2 linked regions of the Styela clava genome follow. The protein of the gene in region 1 interacts with the protein of each later gene in a pairwise test. Links are inferred from orthologs where the notes say so. Each region holds a gene or a part of one and is shown in the gene's direction. Other genes may lie near its edges. The genes, in order: PAN2-PAN3 deadenylation complex catalytic subunit PAN2-like and PAN2-PAN3 deadenylation complex subunit pan3-like.

Region 1 (11,012 bases):
CAAACGTTCAAAATAGAAAATTCATCAGCAAAGAAAATTCTAAGTAACACTCACCAAAGAAACCCTGGCGCGGCGGTGTGGCTCAACGGGCTAAGCGTTAGGAATACGCTCGCCACCGCACCTCTAATTACTCTGCGTGTGTTCGCAGGTTCGAATCGTATGCAGGGATGGTTATGTGATTGCTGGACTCCTCGCCGTCATTGGGTTCACGTAACCGCTGGTCGGTTATGGCTTCCTCCACCACCAAGTCCATGCTTCCGAAAACAAACAATATAACTTACCCCATACGGTATACCCGACTTGGAATGGTAACCGGACGAGAGGCCGTGGTTCGCCATATGGATAAGCCGTCTTATCGGCTTTCCTCTCCCTCTGGATAAATATGTAAATCCTATGCCGTCTTATCGGCTTTCCTCTCCCTCGGGATAAATATGTCTATCCTATCCTACTCGACAAAGAAAATTTTTATTCGCGCCTCATGAGAGTGATCGGAGTCTTACAATGAAAATCCGAAAGTGCTCAGTGGAGAGACGACATTTATTGAATGAGCATTCAGCAAAATGGCATATGGAAACATAAAAGACGTGAATTCAAACGTAACTAATGAATGACATTATAGATAATTCGTGACCATACGGAAAGCTGTGTTTTGCTGTGCTTTCAACAATCTCACCACTTCAAATCTCTCTCTTTCTCACGCGCCCCCGAAACGCCCCAAATCTCATGACTTTTCCAGAGCTGAGGACCGTCGCTTGATCAAATGGCGTCATTTACACAATTTCGTCATTGGGGGCACGACACTTGCTAATTTTTGAAATTGGATGATATAAATATGAGCATTTTGACCTCAGGTTACCCGGCCAAATCAGTACTCCTTCGTCATAAGGCGGAAGTTTGTTTGTAACCGCTCACTGTCAGCAGTTTTGGGCACCGTTAGACTACCCGGTAGGCCGAACTGGAGTCGAAATAAACTTATACTTATACTGCAGCAATGGTTACCGGTGCCGTTACGATTGTGGGGATACAGTAGGTTTCAATTTTACGGTACCGGTACGGCTTACGGTTAGGCAGAACAGTACCGGTAGGCTATATTGAAATGCAGAAATAGGGTACCGGTAACGCATTGTAGGCCTAGTTCGTACCGGTACACCCGTGGCTATCGCTTAGCCTTGTAGGGTATGTATGTATGTTTATATATCTCGTAAAAAGCAATAAAATCGTAGATAGATTACGGTATCATTACTGATGACTGGATGTATGTACAAGACCATACTGGCCTAAAACACAAACGTGCGGCATGCACCCCGTTTAAAAAGTTTTGAATAGAAATAAATCGAATAGGTACATACCGGTATAATATGGTCCCTTATACAGACAATTGTGCAAGGAGAGTGGGTGAGTGTGGTGACAGGGGTAAGGGTGGAGTATACAAAACTGTTTGTACAAGGGAATTTGTAAGACAAGACAACATCCATAAATAAAACATAACACAACACGAAATAATCTGCATGTATAAATAATACTAAAATTTAGAATTTGTACATAAATACAACACCCTTGAGTGATGGTACCACATAATATAAATGTGGTATGGAATGCTCATGTTTAAATAAGTGTTAGTGTCTGATTTTTTATGTGTATACAGTAATAAATAAAGATTTTGTCAAAAAATTCAACACAGTGACGAGAACAAAAATCATTATGTTCACCCATGTGAGTGCCCTAGATATAAACCGTCCTTTTGTATGATTAGAGATACGGTACGGTAAGTTTATTTCGACTTCATAATCCTGTAATCAGCATAAAAGGCGATAAAACGATTGATAAGAACAAATAAACAAAAACTGATTATGAAATCAGGAGAGCAGACAAAACCTTGGATAAGGTTTAAAATAAACAGAATATAGGACAGTAGGATGGAAGGTATTGCCAAAAAGAAGTGGTACGCATTCACTCACATAACATTATTGAATCAATTTACTCACACACACAACCATAATCTGATAGGACCATAATAAAGTTAGAAAAAAGAGAAGCTTTAGATAAGTAAACAAACAAAAAAAATAAATAGGTAAAGAAGAAATTAGAATAAAGACTAAGAATTGTTTGCCACACCCTTTTAATAATTTTGTAAAAATTCCCAAATTGAATACAGATTTTGTAGATACAGAGATATGAGGGAACAGTATTTAATATAAAGACATTAAAAAAAAAATGCTTTGCCACCCTGATTATAGTTGGAGTCAAATGCCAAATTGCTTGAATATCAGATTGTTGAAAAGGGCTACACTAAATGTCTTGACGGGCCGGATTGTGGCCATATTTATAGTGGGGAAGAGGGAGGAACGAGTTATTACGCTGGGGGGGAATTGAAAAAACTCCAGATTTTGCAGCCAGGATATAACTTCAATATTTGCAGGAGGTAAGAAATTGAAGTAGGGCCCTGGTACTATTACTGTTTGGTATTAGGAGCACACTATACAGATCGAGCAACATTGTCTAGTTTTAGAGAATCCCATTTTACTGAGTAACAGACACCCCTTCTTTGGGAGACGTTTGGACATTGTTGTCCCTCAATATCGGTAATAATACAGTATAATGAAATTGCGCAAATGCTGCAAATAAACGCAATCTAATATTGTCATCATTGAATTCCTTGGGGAAAAAATAATCCGATTTACAAGAGGAAAAAAAATTTACCGTGGCATTCGAGAGTTAGCGATTAATTCGGGCACGATTAATTTAGATTATTATTGAGACAAGTATGGTACGATATGAAGCATTTGACGTGGTGCCAGACACCCCTTGTTTGTTAGACACATAGAGTGTTTGTTTTATTGAGCCCAATGGAGAGAAATTCTTGGAATTTGGATAGTGTGCCATGCTGTAAGAGGAAACTGTTTTATATTGTACATTTGCACATTCACAGCTAACATAGCTTAATAGTTTTCTATAAAAGTATCATATCGTATGACACCATGGATACTTGGCTAACGGAATATCATCTCAAACCTGAATGTTTGGAAAAAGACAAGGCCGCAGATCTAATAGATGAATTATCCACTCTAATCCGAAAAGTTTTGGGAATCGAAAGCGAGCTGGTCCACAAGTCATTCAATAATGGAATCATAGCTTTCTTCACTGCAAAATCTGGCGAGACTGTTTTACTCCGAGGAAACAAATCTGTAAACCTCTATCCTTTACTGACTATTGATATTAGTACTCCAAAAATTGATGACTCATGCTTCAAGGTGCAACTAAGCGAATTTAATGATAAAATCAAAAAAATGAGTTTTGTTGAAGAGTTGAAAACACCAGGCTTCTTACCATGGCCGAGTTTGAAACGAGGGAGATTGTTTTCGAAGTATGATTTGCTCACCGGTCTCTTAGTAGAGCGCGATTTTAAAGGTGTTCACTTCGATGATGTCTCTCCGTACCAGCATGTTCGTATTATGGACTCACCCCAATATGGAGGTTGTCTCTTTCTTGATAACGATCTGAATTTATCGGAAAGTGATCTGGAATACACTCGAGCTATCACTGGATATGATAAGGAAGATTACAAAGATAAGAATGTGTTGATCTTAGGAGGAGGGGACGGGGGAATACTTCATTATCTACGAGATCGCGGCCCATCTATGATAACAATGATTGATATCGACCAAATGGTTATTGACGCAGCGAAAATACATTTGCGAGGAATTTGCCACGATGCTCTTGACTCCCTCTCTGGTGAAAATTACGAAGTCATAGTAGACGATTGTGTAAAATATCTCAAAAAATATGTAGCAGAAAAGAAAAAGTTTGATTATATAATTAACGACCTAACTGCGATTCCAGTTAGCACCGAGCCAGTAGGCGATCACTGGGACTTCTTGCGTCTCATATTATCGATGTCAATGAAAGTTCTGAAAAATGATGGAAAATATTTCACTCAAGGGAACTCACTGCTGGCTCAAAATGCACTCGCAATGTACGAAACGCAGCTCGAGAAATTGGAGTGTCGCGTTAAATACACGAAGAAAGAGGTCTGTGTGCCGTCCTATTTAGAGCAATGGGTTTTCTACACTATATGGAAGGATTCATAGGATTCAAGATTGTTGAATTTTCGAGAAAATTAATTTGGAAATATCACTATGAAAAAAGTCCTCTCTAAAGCTGGTATCTGATCCTAGTTTGAAGCAATATTCATTCAAAGTAATTCAATAAAAAGTTTAGAGTAAGGAGTTAAGAATAGAAAATATTCATTGGTGCCATTTAGTGTTGTCTCTTAGTTAAATGCCCCTTTCTGTCTAATCTGACTTTAACAGGGGAGTTGGTTCTATTTTATAAAGTTTGTCTAATCGCGCTTTGGTGATTTTTAGTTGTGCCGGCACGCTTCAATAAAGTTATCAATTGTGTAAATCCTGTTTAGTCATATTCAAATGATTTTTAAGCGAAGTATTCCAAAAAGAAGCAACCGTTCACAATTTTTTTTGTTTTTTTTTCAAAATCATCTTTCTCCAGTTTTGCCTTTTTGGAGCAAACCCCCCTTGTAGTGGGAATTCTGTCTAATCCGACTACCTATGAGTTTTTAGTTAGGCTGTTATTCTTTGATAGAGGTAATCGATTCTGTGAATTCTGTCTAGTCATGTTTGAATGATTTTTATTAAAGATTGTCACACCTCATTAGATTATTCTGTGTAAATTCTGTCAAATCACGCTTCGATGGTTTAAGATTGTGTATAAATTTTGTCTAATCATGTTTTAATGATTTGAAAATTGTTTTAGTTCTATATAATTACGCTTCGATGGTTTATAGCAGGATTTCCCAAACTTTTCGGGCGGCAGACCGCTGTTAGTGAATATAATTTTGACGGGCCCTCATCCTATGTCATATCAAATTTTGTGCCTGACCAACGAGGAAGGATAATGTTTCCATTACCGAAATAAAACTCATCTAAGTTTTAACAAATACATACTAACTTTGAATACTGGCAGGTCAACGGCATGTTGATAAGATCATGATTTATTTGTATATGTTTCAGACTTATTTCATATCATCTCAAACCCCAGTTTCGGAAATCCTGGTTTATAGATTGTGTGAATTCCGTCCAGTAACGCTTCATTGGTTTATAGATTAGGTAAATTCTGTCTAATCATGCTTCAATGATTTACGGATTGTCTAAATTCTGTTTAGTAACGCTTCATTGGTTTACAGATTGTGGGAATTCTGTCTAATTATGCTACGATGATTTATAGATTGTGTAAATTCTGTCTAATCACGCTCCGATGGTTTATAGATTGTGTAAATTCTATCTAGTAACGCTTCATTGGTTTGTAGATTGTGTGAATTCTGTCTAATAACGCTTCAATGATTTATGAATTCTGTGAATTCTGCCAAGTTGCGCTTGAATGATTCAGGTCAAATAATGGTAAATGGAAGAGGTGCTATCAGTGGCGCAACCAGCGGGGGGGTTACGGGGGTCGTGTCCACCCCGTTTGAAATTCGTTTTTTTTTATTATCGTTCTACGTTCAAACAACGTCGTTCCACGGTCATAACAATCCGGTGAAAACTACTTTTTTCCAGTGCTTTATCACCTCGACGTAATTTAACACCGCCCGACTTCAATCATACCTTTTTGCTGTTAGTTACGTAACAATCGCTATCCCCGCGTATATGTTTGTATTCGAAAATGAGATATGTTACCTCAAAAAGGTAGAAATCGCGCGCTGTCGATGCGAATTGAAAGCGACAATAGCATAATGCTATCTCTTTCTCTCTTGTGACGAATACTCTCGTGCTTCATCATCTTGACGCAATGTATCGCCGCCCGTCTTCATGTTATAATAATGCAGTAGAAACTCTCAAAATCTGGATACGAAAATTATTTTCGGAAAAATATTGATTTTTATCGCAGCCATGTGTGGTACGGCAATAACTAACAGTCGTCGTGAAAGGTTTTCAATAAACTCCGACTTGAAGTGCTTATAAGACGTCGAGGACGTTTTTGGTTGAAAATTTTTTACATTTGTTATCGTATATTTCAATTTAGTCAAGATATGTTGTGCGCCTCGGCAATAAACTTAAAAGCAAATCCTGCCCTAATTAATTGTTTTCATCCTCAGTTTCGATAGTTATCGAACTTACCGGGAAATTTTTTAATTTCTTGCACTCTATAAAATAGCTTCTAAATATTATTTGGTTTCTATCGGAGATTTTATCGTTATCCCGGCGTCGTTAATAACAATATCGTTCATTTTAAGTTGGAGGTATTGGTTTATAATCGAAAAATTATAACACATAACATGAAAAATTTAAATCAACGCCGACTCAAAAAGTAAAACACGTTTCTCCATCTTTATTCTCCATTATTGGCGGACGGAAATTTGGGAATCGGGTTTAACTAATTTGATTATGATGACGATGGTAAACAAAAGTACACAAACATACCATACCGTTCTTAGTTTTTAGTCGTTATTTCTCTGTCCTTTCTTCTTTCTATGTGCATATTAAGACCATAAAACGTGTTTTATTTTTGAACTCTGCGCTGATTTGAATATTTCATGTCGGCTGTTATGTATTTTTGTTTGTAAATGAATACCGCTAACTTAAACTGAACGATGTTGTCATCAACGCCGGATGCCGTCGAAATCTGCGATAGATATTAAATACTATTTAAGAGCTATTTTATATGCGCTACATTACAAGTAATGAAAAAATTTCCTGTTATGTTCGGTCACTATCGAAACTGAGAATGAAAACAACTAATTAAGACACAATTTGCCGAGGACGCCTGAACCATCTCGACTAAGTTAAAATACACGATAAGAAAATATTTTCAATCAAAAACGTCCTTGAAGTCTTATAAGTTCTTCAAGTCGGCGTTTATCGAAATTCTTTCATGTCAGCTGTAATATATTGCCGAACCACACATGGACGACGCTAGGATATGTGCGCCATATTCGGGATTATTATAAACACGAAAAAACAGTATTTGAAGTTTGCGATATTTGAATTTAAATTCGATTTGGACATCCCTGCATTAAATTAGTCATTTTTTAGTTGTGTTTCCAAAAATTAGTTGTAAATCAATTATTTTAATTGTCATCATGTCTTCCGGTGAGCTTCAGTTTAGTTTAGAACTTTTCTGGGGTTAGGGTCGGGAAAAGGTCCATTCGCAAGAAGTGCATTTTGTTTTTAGTCTTGACGAATTCACCCAACGAGCAAGGCCGGCACTAGGGAAACACTGGAATTTATTCAAGCCGTGTTTCACTATCCACGAGGCGCAAAGCGAGGGAAATGTTGAAAATAATTAACAGCTTTTCGTTAGCAATTCGCTGGAATGTAATGAACGGTGTTTGCTACCCACGAGGTGCAAGACATAGCGAAGCGTCGTTAATGAACGAGTGCAAGGTAAGCTGAAGGCTGGGATTTAATCGATGGCGTTTCCATTTTAACCACGAGCAATTTATCGCGTTTCAGCGGGGCGACACCTAGAGGCGTTGCGACTTACGTCGTGGTTGCACTGTGTAAATTCCTGTCGGACCCCCCCCCCGTTGAAAACGGTCTGGTTGCGCCACTGGGTGCTATTTTAAAATTTATATATAGGCTTGCCTATTCTGATGTTGATTGAAAATTATGATTTAAGTTTAATTTTATTTATTAAAAAGAAAAATTCCATATTCAAGTTCAAATAATAAAAGTAACTCTTTACATATTGTCAGATTTCAATCAGGCCTCATCACATTTTTAGAATAAAGCGCAATCATAGCGATTTTTCTTGTGAATCATAACTTATATTTTGGCAGAATATACTCATTTGAATTATGTGGAACTTATGCTGCAAGTCATTCTTCATTTTTTCAAATATGATTAAATGCAATCATCTCGTTTTCAACTAAAATTATCATAACATATATTTTGGCAGAATATGCTCATTTGAAATATGTGGAACTAATGCTGCAAGTCATGCTTCATTGTTTTTATGCTCATAACCAAATCCCTCTGTTATGTTGCCACTTTATTCTTCGGGGTGGCTGTAATGGGGTCGGAATTGAACTAGGAACCCAAACTCATAATTGTTTAAAAGCAGGGCTGTGCAGCCCGCGGGCCAAATGCGACCCACAAGGAAAAATTATGAGGCCCACAGAGAAGTGCCAATTTTAAATAGTGTTTGGCCCACGAAACGAGTTTTCAATTTAGTCCTATCTAGTATGTGCAGGTAATTCCTATTCCTTTGCATTGCAAAACTTATACCTGAGCTTATGCAGAGCTAACAACACGTGTCATAAAATCAGTAACCAAAGTTTTGTGCTTGCAACTACTAGAAAGCCTATGTTGAATAAACGTGCGGCCCGCGATTTCACTCAGATATTCCTACCTTGCCCTCTTGTATTAAAGGTTGCACATCCCTGGTTTAAAATCATTAGAAATATTTTCAGTTATTACTAATCGATCTTAAGATCGGTAAGTATGTTGATAGGTTTTTGTCTGTTTGTATGTCTGTGTGTTAGATGCACGCGATATCTCACGAAAGCGAGTTTGAATCTGCTCCAAATTTTGAATGTGCATTCATCATAGCTCGGATCAGGATTATGTCTTATAATTAGCGAGTTATTGATTAATTAGTGATGGGACACACGGTGTCACTATGGAGTAAGACCACTGTTTTGAGGGATCCCCTAACCTTCGATCGATAAGTCTTCTTCTTTTAACCGATATTCTAGTTTTTTAAATTCATTACCATGTGCAGATGAAGCTTCAAATACTATGCAGTTCATGCATTCTATACTTTCTAATTTGGGTGCTATCTCGTTAGGGCCCAGCATCTAATTTCCGACCTTTTTAGTTTATCTTAAATTTATGGCAGTTCAAACAGGTACCCTAAGCCGAGAGGTCTACGGGACAGTTCTTTCTGGTTCACAAGCAATGTCTTCCGTTATTGAAAATTTGTGATTAATTTTAATGATTAATTTAAAAAGAATGGATCATGTCTTTTCAAACTATTTGCTATGCATGAAAACCCATATTTACCGGCTTCTCTGAAAATTTTCGAACCCCCCCCCCCCCCTCTAAAAATATCTTGCTATGCCCCTGGGTTATGGCAATAGCAGGGTAGCACCCAACCAACATGATGTTTTTATTTGGCATCCAGTTTTTGCTTTTACCTTTTCAATTACTGTAAAATTCATTGTAGTACTCAATAACGTTTTTGTACATTACTGTGTTTTGTTCTCGTAGTTCCAAATATCTGTCAACTTTAGTTCCGAATTCAGTTTTCAATTTTGCAGTTTTGTCAACTTTTTTCAACTATTAGACCATGGAATAAGAAATGGAGTTGTATCTTCAAACTCTCAGAAAATAATTAGTGATAATCGCGTTCAGAATACCCAAATAGTTTGGGTACTCCAGCGTAGCGAGGAGGGGTAGGGGGAGGTCCGACATGTACAAAAGTTTAATTTGCTTTTCAATCATTTACGACTTTAGGTCAAATTCAAATTTTCCTGATCAATTGTGAATTTTCCTATAGTCCACAGGCATGAGAATACATGAACAAATATATATTCCTTGTCTCCCCTAAAAAAAGACCCAGTCTGGATTTTAAAATGATTTTAAAGTAAGCCCATCCCTTAAAAATAAGACCTAGTTGATAGTGCAAAAATAAAAACGTGTAATTTTGAAGTAAATTAATATCGATTGTCATATTTATGTATATTTGAAAATCTCATAATTCTCTACTTTGAATTTTTGTTTCTGATAAATTAAAAAAAAGACATCGCCCTAAATAAGCCCTAGCGTTATTTTTTGAAAGAAAATAGAAATAAGACCCGGTCTCATTTTTGGGGAAACTCTGTATTTATTCAGAGTAGATTTAAAATTATTTAATTTTAGCCATTTCTGCCAAACACTGTTCCTATTTCGTCATCTTTTTTTAAAACTAGCTGAAAATATTTTATGTTCTACAAGTGCTTACAATTTTTACAACTGATATTTTCTGGTGGATTTTCCCATAGTCCACGGGCCTGAGAATATTTGAATATGAACAAATATTCGAAATAGATTCAATTTTAGCCGTTCCTGCCCAACACAGTTCCTATTTTGTCAACATATTTTAAACGAGGTGAAAATAATTTTTAGTTCTGCCAGGTATATTGTTACTAGAATACTCAAATTTTGCCTATTTTGCAATTTTTATCATCATGCTGATTCTAAATAATTTCTCATTTTAATTTATTACAGGTTGTTTAATTTAAGATAGTATTTGGACTTATTTTAACCATTCAAAATTCAATTCTGTCGGAACAAAAATACATGGATATTCCCATCAATCTTTGGTACTACGGAATCATTAACCAACATTTGAATGGAACAAGTTTCTGCTACATTTCCTTGACAGTGCTGACTTGAAATGTCACAGGGATATATCTGTATCTAACTGATAAGAGTATCATTGGCTACTTGCAACTCTTCTATCAGGACTCTTTCCACATAGACTTGAGGACTTGGAATCTTGCTTTGAGCGAACTTGCAACTCTTTTATCAGTACTCTTTCCAGTAGTTGAGGGCCCGGGACCTTGCTTTGAGCAAACTTGTGACAGCTCTTCGCACTTCAATGACTGTTTGTAACTCCTCTATCGTCATCTTTTTGGATTGAGGAATTTGAATCTTCAAGCTAACTTGCTTTGAGCATATTTATATTTTTAGCTGTTTGGACATCACTAACTGCTTACAGTGCTTGAAGGCTTATGACCCTGCTTTAGGCAAACTTATACCAGAACCCACTTCTGGTTGAGTGTCTATGTTTTGAGCAAACTTGCGCAGCTTTTAGCATGCCTTAGCAGTACTTTTCCCCAATTTTGAAGCAAATTTTAAACCATTGAAGGATTTTTATTGGACTTTGATTTGGTTGCTATGGATACGTGGCTACTTGAATTACGACTCAAATCTTGGTCTTTAGAGAAAGATAAAGCGGAAGAAATCATCAAAAATGTATCGGATTTGATTAAAAATTATTTGTGCAGTGATTGC
Region 2 (10,948 bases), on another chromosome or scaffold:
CTACAATTTTATATTAACTAAGTTGATCATTCATCTATGACATGTTTGGTACTGTACATCATACATATTTTTATCGTTATTTTACCTTATATTTCTATCATGTCTTTTGCAATTGTTAAATTTTCATCTTCATGGTCATTTACCTATTATAGTGACATTTGAAGTAAGATCTTGTAATGAGGATATGACACTTTTTTAAATTTCAATCATATCATTTTTCATTTCATTTTTTTTATATTGTGTACTAGGTAATCTAGTCTTGTACTCACTTGTTCATTCAATAATGAAATTATTTGTTAATTTCATAAAGCGAATTCTTTAAAGATTAGAAACCTAAAACCTCTTCCCTGTTTTACACTGCTCACCCAATGAGGCACAGGAATCCTTAACCTGTGATACCAACATATGTATGCGCTCTAATCGCTGAACAAGCGTGGTCACATTTTGTCAAAACATAGGCGTCACGTTGCCGTTTGAACGCCGATTCTAGACAGTGAAATCGGTACTCCCGTGGTGCGTGTACCAGGTTATGGTTAGATCATGATTTCGTTCCGATTTTCGTTATTGTATTTCTATTACCAACAGTTCGGGGACTGTCTGTGTTAGCCAAATGAATATACCAACAGCCCATAGGTTTCAGTCCCTTCACACAACTCGATGTAAAGTAGGCCAACAAAACTAGTGGTACACACATTTCTGGAGCGCCTTATATTAAAATCATTTCTAAAATTTAGGCTAGGTCTTATTTTCGGGGAAACACGTAGCAGAATGGCTATTTTTTTGCACTTTGTGGATAGAGTTTAAATCTGAATTAAAAAATCATTATTTACTTTGCATTTGTTCATCCTAATATGAAAGTAAAATTTGTGATTCAATATTTTGATGAACATCATATACAATGTAGTTTGCAATCAAATTTTGACCCATAAAAAACATAGTAGGAATAACATTTCATCCTCTATAACAGGGGTGACGAACCCATTCGCTAAGCTAAATTTTATCAGTCACCGCTGAGTAAGCACAAATCATACTATGATACCTGTTAATTTTCATCAACAAGAACGAACAACTTCATCCATAAAGCTTAGGTTATTTAATGATATATTGCAGCATAAAATGGGAAAGGAATAATTGATTTTTTTTTAGTGAGATTTTTGGAAACTTTTTTGCTTTACTAAGCGCTTAATATTAGGACGAACTGACGATTTGGAAACTCAACTGCATACTAAGATTTTCGTCTGCCAGTCTTAACCACCACTCGACTGTTCGAGATCGAATTTTTGGTCGACTACCGGTGTATCATGGTACAATCAATTATTATTGTACTAAAATAAATTGTAGTCTTTAGAATACTATCGCATATCTAGGGATTTTTCTAACGTTGATATTTTGAAAATAATCTTTGGTGATATCATTGTGATAGAACTGAGTCAGTGTTCCAATAGCAGATTAAATTTGTATAATTCGTAACATCGCAAAAATACGAATCGAAACTAGATAAAATGGGGCAGTTTGACAAGTTTTCTTGTGGCCGGGGATTGCCGTGATATATTCAAAGTAAATTTCTTATTTTGTCGACGTGGTCACATTAAACACACGATCTGATAAAGCAAAGCAATATAAATAGACTCGTGTTGCCCGTCAATTGAATACTTCGCGCAACTGAAAAATCATTACCCAATGAAAAGTCGCAAGTCGCGTACTCACGGCAACTGTCTCAAAATCCATTCCGAGGAGATTTACACGCGATAAATATGTATTTTTAATCCCGGCTGCTGATCAATGTAAAGTATGTCCAATTAATTATACAGTCTGGGATTTTCTCGTAGGTTTTCGGATCTTTCTCGCAGCGATATCTTGAAAACCGATATCAGGGAGATACCACGTGCACAATTAAATTAATATGACAAGACAATCAAAATGGTCGTGGGTCGAATAGGCCTACCCAACATGACATAAAAAAAAAACATCATCCGTCGAATGCTTTATGAAATTACTTCAATCTTATCATATCAATGTTTCGATGCACAAGAAAAGTAAAACTATCATCATTTTAGTTATTTTTTGGTCTTATTCAACTTTAGATTTGCAACATCCACCGTGTTCCCTCGAAAATAGGATGGGTGTTTTATTTCAATTTTCTTTCGAAAAATAACACAAGGGACTATTTTGAGGGGATGTTTTTTATTTTCATTCATCAAAAATAGATTACGAAGTAGACAATTACGAAATTTTCAAATATACAAAATATGAAAACCGATATCCATTTACTTATTAATAAGACGTTTTTATTCAAAAAAAAAAATAAACAATTAAAAACATACATTATTCGAAAATGAACATATCATCAATCATCATCCTCTGGAATGTCTTGCAATTCACTAGATTAATCATTTAAAACGTGTAGGAGAGATTTCGCATTATCGACTGCTGGATCTTATTTTTAGGCTAGGTCTTATTTCGGGGAAACACGGTAGCAGAATGGCTAGTTTTTCTACACTTCGTAGATAGGATTTAAATCTAAATTAAAAAATTATCGTCCAATTTGTTTATTCTAAAATTAAAGTAAATTTTTTTTAATCCAATAATTTGATGAACATCATATACGATGTAGTTTGGTTTGCAATCAAATTATGGCCCATAAAAAACAAAGTGAGAATAACATTTCATCTTCTAAACTAATGCCAAATTTCATTGGTTACAGATTGCAAAACTGGTTATATTCATCGTTTTATTTAAAGAATTGATCTCTTGCTTTACAGCATAGGTTCCCGAACTTTGTGTTGGTATGCGCCAAATCATCAGGGAAAACACTCACGGCGCACTTACACAATAAAAAAAATTCTGCCTCAATTTTGTGATCGTTAAATTTCGACTCAAGTTTGTGATCGGTAATGTGTACTTTGTCTTTCAAAGTTTGTAAACATGAAGGCCTAGGCCCTAGAGAATAAAGGCACCACTCAAATCTTCCTCTCTGTCTGATCTTCCTTTGAAATACTGAAAAAAATCGCTCTTGTTCGCTAAATTCGGTTCAGCACAGCAGATAAATAAACTGCAGCTCACGAAATTGTAGTAAGTAACGCGTAACAGAAAAGTAAACGGCATAGAAAGGTGAAAGGAATTTATTGATTCTTATTCACAGCATTTAAAAATGAAAAAAAAATAAATAAAACATTTATAACAGATGCAAATTGTAAAATATTCAATCCTATATTAGTCGTGTTTAACACAATTCTGTTAGTTTCCGGCGCGCACATATAGGGTTTTGTTTTTTATCAATTCTAAAAAAACATCGTGTTTTTAAAACAAGGGCTTGTTTTAAATCAATTTTTTTTATTGAAATACCCCTTGCATCGCCGCGAAGCTATGCCAAAACGTTGCATTCTGGCAGCTGCACACGCAGCCGGAGTTATAATTTCAAAAATGTAAGTGAAATGTTTTATTTTGACTTTTACCACTATTGCGTACATTTATCGCCATTTTATATCTCTAACAAAGTCATAAGATTTTACCCGGAGTGTTTAGCCGAGATATCAGAGAGACGTTTTGAGTAAGAAAAATCATGAAAATTAGCTCACGAGCCTACTACAACAGCAATTCAATCAAGTGCACCCTAACCTGGCCAATGTTAATTGTAAGAGTTCTCTGATGCAAAGACGCCACAACTAATCTGTTATGACGCCATAATATGGATTTCGAGGTCATGTATTGACATTTTTCTCATAAAATGAAGTCATTGTTACGGTTAATACTATTCGGTTAATTTATGCTTAACATACTTTGTTTTTAGGGTTGTAGTGAGTTTTCAAGATTATACAAACTCATTTATTAGATCGCATTTTAATTTTCGCAAGGTGGTTTCATCGCAGCAGAGTCGTTCACGTAATGGCTTACCGGTTGCGTCTTACTGCGCCAACCACTGAACTACAGCTTGAGAAGGTGTGCATGAGTCTCTATCGATATTTGTGGCGTTTTGAAAGATTTATTGCAAATAAGAAGCGCTTGGCAAGTTTTTACGTCCTTTATCTTTAATCTATTTAGTACAAAAAAATCAAACAGTACAGCCATTTTGAACAAAACAGGCAAAAAAAAACATGATTTGAAACAATTGTTTTTAAACAATTCTTTTCGAACAAGTCCCTACGCACATAGCGACTGATAGCCTGAATATGTTTTATTGATAGAATAGTTCTAGCCGCGAGGGGTGAGGTTCTCCAATAATAGATGATATTCATTTTTTATTTGTATTATTCGTATATATAAATACGATTCGTGGCAACAAAGAATAATAATTGTGTTATTCATAACCCAAAGCAGATTATCTACCACTTCAATATATGCTTCCCACTAGAGATGTATCGACTATTTTCCAGGATCTGTTAAATAAAGACAGATATATTCAGCTTTCTGATCTGATTGAGAATGTTTTAAATTAAAAGATAGGATAGTATACGAATGTTGAAATTATTTTGTATTAGTTTGATAAGATAACTAAACATTTATTTTACATGCTGATAACCAAACTGGGTTTTCTAAGCGAACGCCGAAGAGATTCTTGGGTCGGTCCAATGCATTAATCTGAGTATTTCAATAGACCGTAAGATGTGGGTCTCGAGGCACGCCAATAATACATCTGAATCACAAACATCAATTTCTCATGTTTATATTTCATATCTTTTTTCTAAAGCTGAAATAATGTGCACTGAAAATAGCTCACAAGTTAAGTATATATGGTAAAAAAACATTCATGTAGAATCAAATTGAGCTAGACAGAAATCGCCAGATTGAGACTTTCGAGGGCCTCTTCCTATTCTATAACCGAAGGCCTATGTTTCGTTTCATTCATCGCATAGTAACTTATCCAAATAAAAAAGTACATAGAAATTTGTATATACATTAGATGACATGCAAACTGGATGCAGACAAATCAAAGACCTTATTAATCGTACCATTAGTCCCAACACTAAAGATATCAACTGATACTTCGGTCGCCATTATATATACTCCAATATATCACTAGCACAGGGATGGCAAACCTTTTTTAATGAATGGGTCAAAAATTATATTTTTATCGCGGAACAGAAGAGAGTGGGTCACATATATACAATCAATGTTTATATCTATAAGAAACTTCCAAAGCAAATTTTATAATCTTCTCTTGGTGTAGTTTTGGGCTTTATTTATGCAGCACTTCTATCAGGAACTTTTTATGATATATACTCGATTTTATGAAATTAGAGTACGAAAACACGTATATGCATTAACAAAAACGTTTAGGATGTTGCGGCAAATTATTTTACGGTTCCAAAGAGTTTGGAGGAAATTCCATTCTGATAGTGTTATATTTTTTGATCAGCTTTCAACCACATTAGGGCACTTTTACACTGCCCCATTGTTTTTTCAGATTTCTAGGTTTTTATTTCAAATCTGAAAGATTTTGTTTTTTCAACGGCATTGTAGGCGAGAAACTAACAAAATGCAAAGTAGCATCTGATTCTCGTATAACCCCTAAAACAGTCTGCAAATGCCTCTCCAAAAGAGACAAGATGTTGCCAGAAATGAACAGATAGATCATTACTTATCGATCTTAAGATCGGTTTTGAAATCTTGCTTGTTTCACTGATAGTTGATGGTCCCCGTTTTTAACAACAATGCCCTTTTGATCTCAGAAAGTGTGTAATTCTGCAGTTTATTGCTCTAACCGCTAAGGCGGCTTAATCATATGTCAGAACCACTGCCTCATCCGGTTACCAGTCCATGTCAGGTATTGGACTAGTTAGCCACTTATTGTTTCAGATGCATCGACTTGATAGTGATGGAAGCCGTAACCGACCAGCGGTTACGTGAACCACCCTGTGGCGACGAGGAGTCCAACGATCCCCTCGCACATAATTCCTCCAGTGGATTCGAACCCGCGAACCCACGCGGAGTGATCAGCGATGCGGTGGCGAGTGTATTCCTAACGCTTAGCACGACGCGCCACACCGCCGGCAATTCATCAAAGCAACAATTCATAACGCAAATAAATGATATCGATTGTTTTGTCAATCTCCTCAATATCCTCCTCTTTTCGTTGTCATTTCGCATTTTACGTAAGCCATTAAGACGCAGTGCCCAATGTCTCGAGTCTATCCGAAATAACTTGATTTCAGACAATTCCACGCAGGGAAATTGGTGCGATCGCGTGCATGTTCGTTGTGCATCGGCGAAAAGGTTCGTCAATTTTTGATCAAACATAAATGCGTGAAGGGGATATATCAATTACACACACCGGTTTCTATGTGTTATTTTCGATAAAGAATTAATTGTTCAACTTCTCATAAATTACCGCCATTGACAGATTGAATTGCCGCAAGACCAATATTATTCAAAAATCAAAAACACCGTGCCGGTAACGTAGATTATTTCAGAGTGAACCATGATAAAATAGTCGTTTCCATACAGTCTGGGGACAATCATCACTTCCCTAGATTTGACTAGCCATACAATCAACCTGTCAACTGGTAATATACAGAAGAAGGATACGCACGCTGATACAATATTACGGTATTCTGGTATTAATGACTGACCTGCTGGTACTGTGAAAAACTAATGCTGTTTTAAGCTGGTGATCCGGAATATGGACGGGAATGGACAAGATCCATCACTTTTCGATCATAGTAAGATAATTCCTTTATTATGACAGTATTATGTATCACAATGGCCAAAGTACATTCTGTATGTTTTAAACCTTATCTAAGGTTTTGTTTGCTCTCCTGATTTTATAATCTGTTATTATTTATTTGTGTTTATCAATCATTTTATTGTTATGCTGATTATGACTGTATGAAGTCGAAATAAACATATAGCCTACTTATACAGTGAATTTGAGTTTGGACAAACACTGCATGTTCTTTTCTAACACCAACATGGTGGAAATCAATACCAGCATTAAGAAACATTGAAACCATAATTAGTATGGAAATTTGAATCCCAATCTGAGATTATATCCTTCGTGAGAATGTGCACGGCTCTTGCACAAAACAAAACTTCGATATAATACTGCAATAAAATATTCTTTTTGACAATCATTTTTACATATTGGTATTGTTTAAAACCTCTTGTGCTTCAATTAATGAATATCCTAACTTTTTTTATGCTTAATTTTGATTTCAGTTAACAATGCCCTCGTTGGCGATCTACCATCTTTTGGAATGGCAAAGGAATCAAAATTTCAGCAGTTGATGAGGAGCAATAGCATGACAAACAAGTCGAGGAATATATTTGAAAATTCTTCTCAAGTACAAGTCTTTTATTTTTTTATTTATATCATACTGTATGTCAGTATATTAGTTCTATTCAACTAACTGAAAAAATACAAATTTACTCTAAAACTTTGGGAATTTCCTTTAGAGTTATTGTACAGCAATACTGCAATATGACTAAAGTTAGAGATTTTCGAATGTACCTAATATTGCTTTTCTAATCTACCTAATATTGCTTTTCTAATCTACCTAAAATTGCTTTCGCAATGATCCCAAACAAAAATGGGGCCAAGTTCACAACACGACATAAGTACCTCTAGTTAGCGCGACATAACAATTTTTGCATATGTTAATCCCAACCTGACTTTGTCATTAAAAAATTATGTCACTACAACGTCACAGTAACATAATAAGGCCTTCCAAACTATACTATCTGTCATCCAAGACGCGCAGGCGATCACCCGAAATTGAGCAAGCTATTTTTCTCGGCATAATGATCCTGATATGAGAGAGATCACTAGCATTAGTGAGTTCGTTATCGTTGGCGAAGATGCCATTCCGGGCGATCGAAGGTATCCTTTGGCAAGCTTTTTGACGTGATTGTGAGGTCGTACTGACGTAATTTTTAGATCACTGAGCCAGGTGGAGGTTAGGAATGACATAAGCATAAATAGTTGTGCCACGCCAAATAGAAGTACTTACGTCGTTTAGTGAACATGCGCCCAAAAATGTGCGTTCGGAAAATTGACAAGTACTCCTTGGGAGAAGTATTCTTGCTTTTTGATTGTTGTCTAATAGTAATAACTAAATGATAAATTTATACTTCGGATATGGGTACAATTTTTTTATGTGTTGTATCATTCTAGAGCCATGAAGCTGGCCCTGATATTAGGAGTTATGCTTCATTTGAAAGACCACCTGAAGTTGATGCAGGCCTGTGTGTGGAAGCAAAAGAATTCATGCCATTGATGGGTAGCTCTATTTTCATTGTTCAATAGGTCTTCCATTATAATTGCTTTTATATTTATCCATTGTAACACTAGACAGCTAGATGAGTAGTAATTTGGACCTGCAGTTTTGTTTTTTAATTTTCTGTGATTTGGGTTTGCTCTGCTGGGCATGAAAGAATGAGGTTGTATGCAAAACTAGTTTCATACTTTAGGGCTAGGATCGGCAAACTGCAGCCTGCGGGCCAAATGCGGCCCGCAAAGTAATTTGTTGCGGCCCTCGAACGACCCGACAATACATAAAACAAAAGTTTATCCTAAAATTTTTGTCTCTACACGGATTTATGTGGTAACAAGTCTGCTGTAGAACGCTTGTTTTATAATAAGTAGCGACAGTTGTATGTCGTTCGAGTTAATGTTGATTTTCAAAAATTTTAAAATGTCTGAGAAACGGTGGGGAATTCGGGACGAGGGTCAAACATTCCAAAGTGCTTGGAACGAAAATATTTTTCTTGAGCATTTCCAAACCAGTTTGCTCGATATGCCCAGCATCGCAGATATTGAGGGATTCAATGTTACAAAACGTGTCTCTGAAAATTCGACCCCGAGATCCAGAACTGTGCCACATCTCATCTCTGCGACAGTGCAAAACATGTATCGTAATCATGTTGGAAGCATGTTCGGAAGCTCATATTACTGTGAGCAGCTTTATCTAAAATGCAATACAATTGGATTAAATTTTGTAATCGCTTGTCAGATCGTCATTTGGACGACGTACCGTGGGCAAGTTGCCATTAAAACATCATTCACATTGATAATAAGTAAATAAAAAGAATGCATTGTTGGATAACATATAAAAAAGACCACATACACGTCTCATTGTGGCAAACTTTTAACGCAGCAATAGAAGGTGCAAATGCGCGATAATTTGAAGTTCAATGTGGAGATTGTTCGAAGGCGGAAATATTGCGGCCTGCTCGCTAACGAAAAAGTTGATATTTGGCCCGTAGGTATATGAACATAGCTGACCACTGCTTTAGAGAGACTGTTGTTAGCTGCACTGGTTGCTGTTAGAATCTTGCTAATCATTTCATTTTGAAGCTTTTTGGAGCCTAAAACTTCTTATTAATCTTAAGATATCAGTTTTACATATTTTGTGATCACACTAGCCTGCCAGAGCACAGGCTATATAGTATAGACCAGTGATTCCCAGAGTGGGCGATATCGCCCCCCGGTGGGCGAAAACGATACAGAGAGGGCCAAAAAGTTGAAGGGGGCGATTTCGCGAAACCTGTTTTTGCTCGGCGCATCGTGCGCATAATTCTGTACTCTGTGTGCTTTGCAGGATTAAATCACGTGGTCGATTATCACACGTGAAAGGATTGCTGGACTCGTCTTCGCAGTAAGGTACGGTAGTTTGTGTATTCCAGTGGCGGCAAAATACGGCCGGAGTAAAATAATCTGGCCCGGGACGATTCACTGAATGGACCTATCTCCGACCTTTGACCTCGAAAATTCTTCCTATACTTTACCATTTTATAATTTTCGGTGCTTATTTCAAGAGTGGTTTTGTGAGTTGTTGTCTGTCAAATGGGGTATTTGTTTCAAACTATCATTCTAATTCATACCATTCAACAATCTGTTTTTTAAAAGTACCGAAAAAGAGTTTTAGCCTAGTCTATTACAGCTATTTCTACACTAATTTTTGATTACTGTATTTAAACTGAAACTCATAGAAAGACAAAGTAATCATTGACTTATATGATTTATATTTAAATTTCGGAAAAATAACTAAAAACTAACGAATATAATTCAAAAACGCAAAAATGAGGTAATGTTCACGACCACGCCTGGAAATCTGTCCGAGTGAGTGTGTCTGAGCGGATGCGAAAGGGGGCATTGTTACGTTTATTTTTGCATCTTGCTGATTGGCCAATGTCACGAAGTAAACAAGGAAGTCTATGCCCGGGTAAACATCTAAACGGCGGTTTTGACGATGAATTTATTTTATTTATAATCTATGCTCGAGGAGTAAATTACATTTTTTTACGTAACAGAATTTTTCGTGAGACACGTTTAGACTAAATTTTATTATATCCCTAAAATTCTATTGAACAGTTAGCTACTCGTTTAACGAGCCTACAATTTATTTATAATTAGACAAATGGAAACACAAAGAAAAAAAGTTGATGCTGAGGGCAGGGGTTCAATAGCGCAGTTAATATTCGAATATATTGCAATGCAATAAAGAAAAAAAAATTCATATTCTTTTCGAGAGATTCATTACTGCGTAATTTTTGTAAGAATGTATCTTATTAAAGAAAATCTTTATCAAAATTTCACAAACCATGCAAGAATATTCACTTAATGTTTGGAAGTACATATTTGTGTTAACAATTATTTTCGAAAATGGACATTACAAAGAACAATTAAAGAACTGGGATTAGTGATGCCTATTTAGAAAACGTTCCAATCTTGGCGTCGTAAAGCTATCAAGCGGGATGCAGCAACAAGACAGTGTCACATTAAATGTCATTGTAATGATTTTTTAATAAGACGACTAAGTTGAGTTCACGAATTGTCGCAGTTTTCGCGCGCTGTTCCGTTTTCAACTTTTAAACAATATATGCGACCCGCAAAAGACTAGCAACCCTAAATTTTGTCTCACGAGCGACATAAAATTTGCCGACCCCTGGGCCGCAGTCGATAGTCGGTCACAGCTTTTTCCACATCAGAGTCCATGAGTCCAAAAACAAA

Evidence for each region.
Region 2: the proteins of PAN2-PAN3 deadenylation complex catalytic subunit PAN2-like (region 1) and PAN2-PAN3 deadenylation complex subunit pan3-like interact in binary tests that used the Drosophila melanogaster proteins (3 or more experiments, as listed by UniProt). The link is inferred for Styela clava from reciprocal best matches to the Drosophila melanogaster genes PAN2 and PAN3.

The regions. Positions count from the first base shown.
Region 1 is NC_135254.1:1,608,509-1,619,520, reverse strand, and holds the start of PAN2-PAN3 deadenylation complex catalytic subunit PAN2-like, read left to right. Parts: upstream 1-6,795; 5' UTR 6,796-8,466; exon of another isoform or gene 8,467-11,012. Other genes in the region: spermine synthase-like, read left to right, coding at 2,979-4,088. UniProt on the Drosophila melanogaster protein: Catalytic subunit of the poly(A)-nuclease (PAN) deadenylation complex, one of two cytoplasmic mRNA deadenylases involved in general and miRNA-mediated mRNA turnover.
Region 2 is NC_135262.1:19,580,863-19,591,810, reverse strand, and holds the start of PAN2-PAN3 deadenylation complex subunit pan3-like, read left to right. Parts: upstream 1-5,987; 5' UTR 5,988-6,619; coding exon 6,620-6,659; intron 6,660-7,155; coding exon 7,156-7,280; intron 7,281-8,110; coding exon 8,111-8,216; intron 8,217-10,948. UniProt on the Drosophila melanogaster protein: Regulatory subunit of the poly(A)-nuclease (PAN) deadenylation complex, one of two cytoplasmic mRNA deadenylases involved in general and miRNA-mediated mRNA turnover.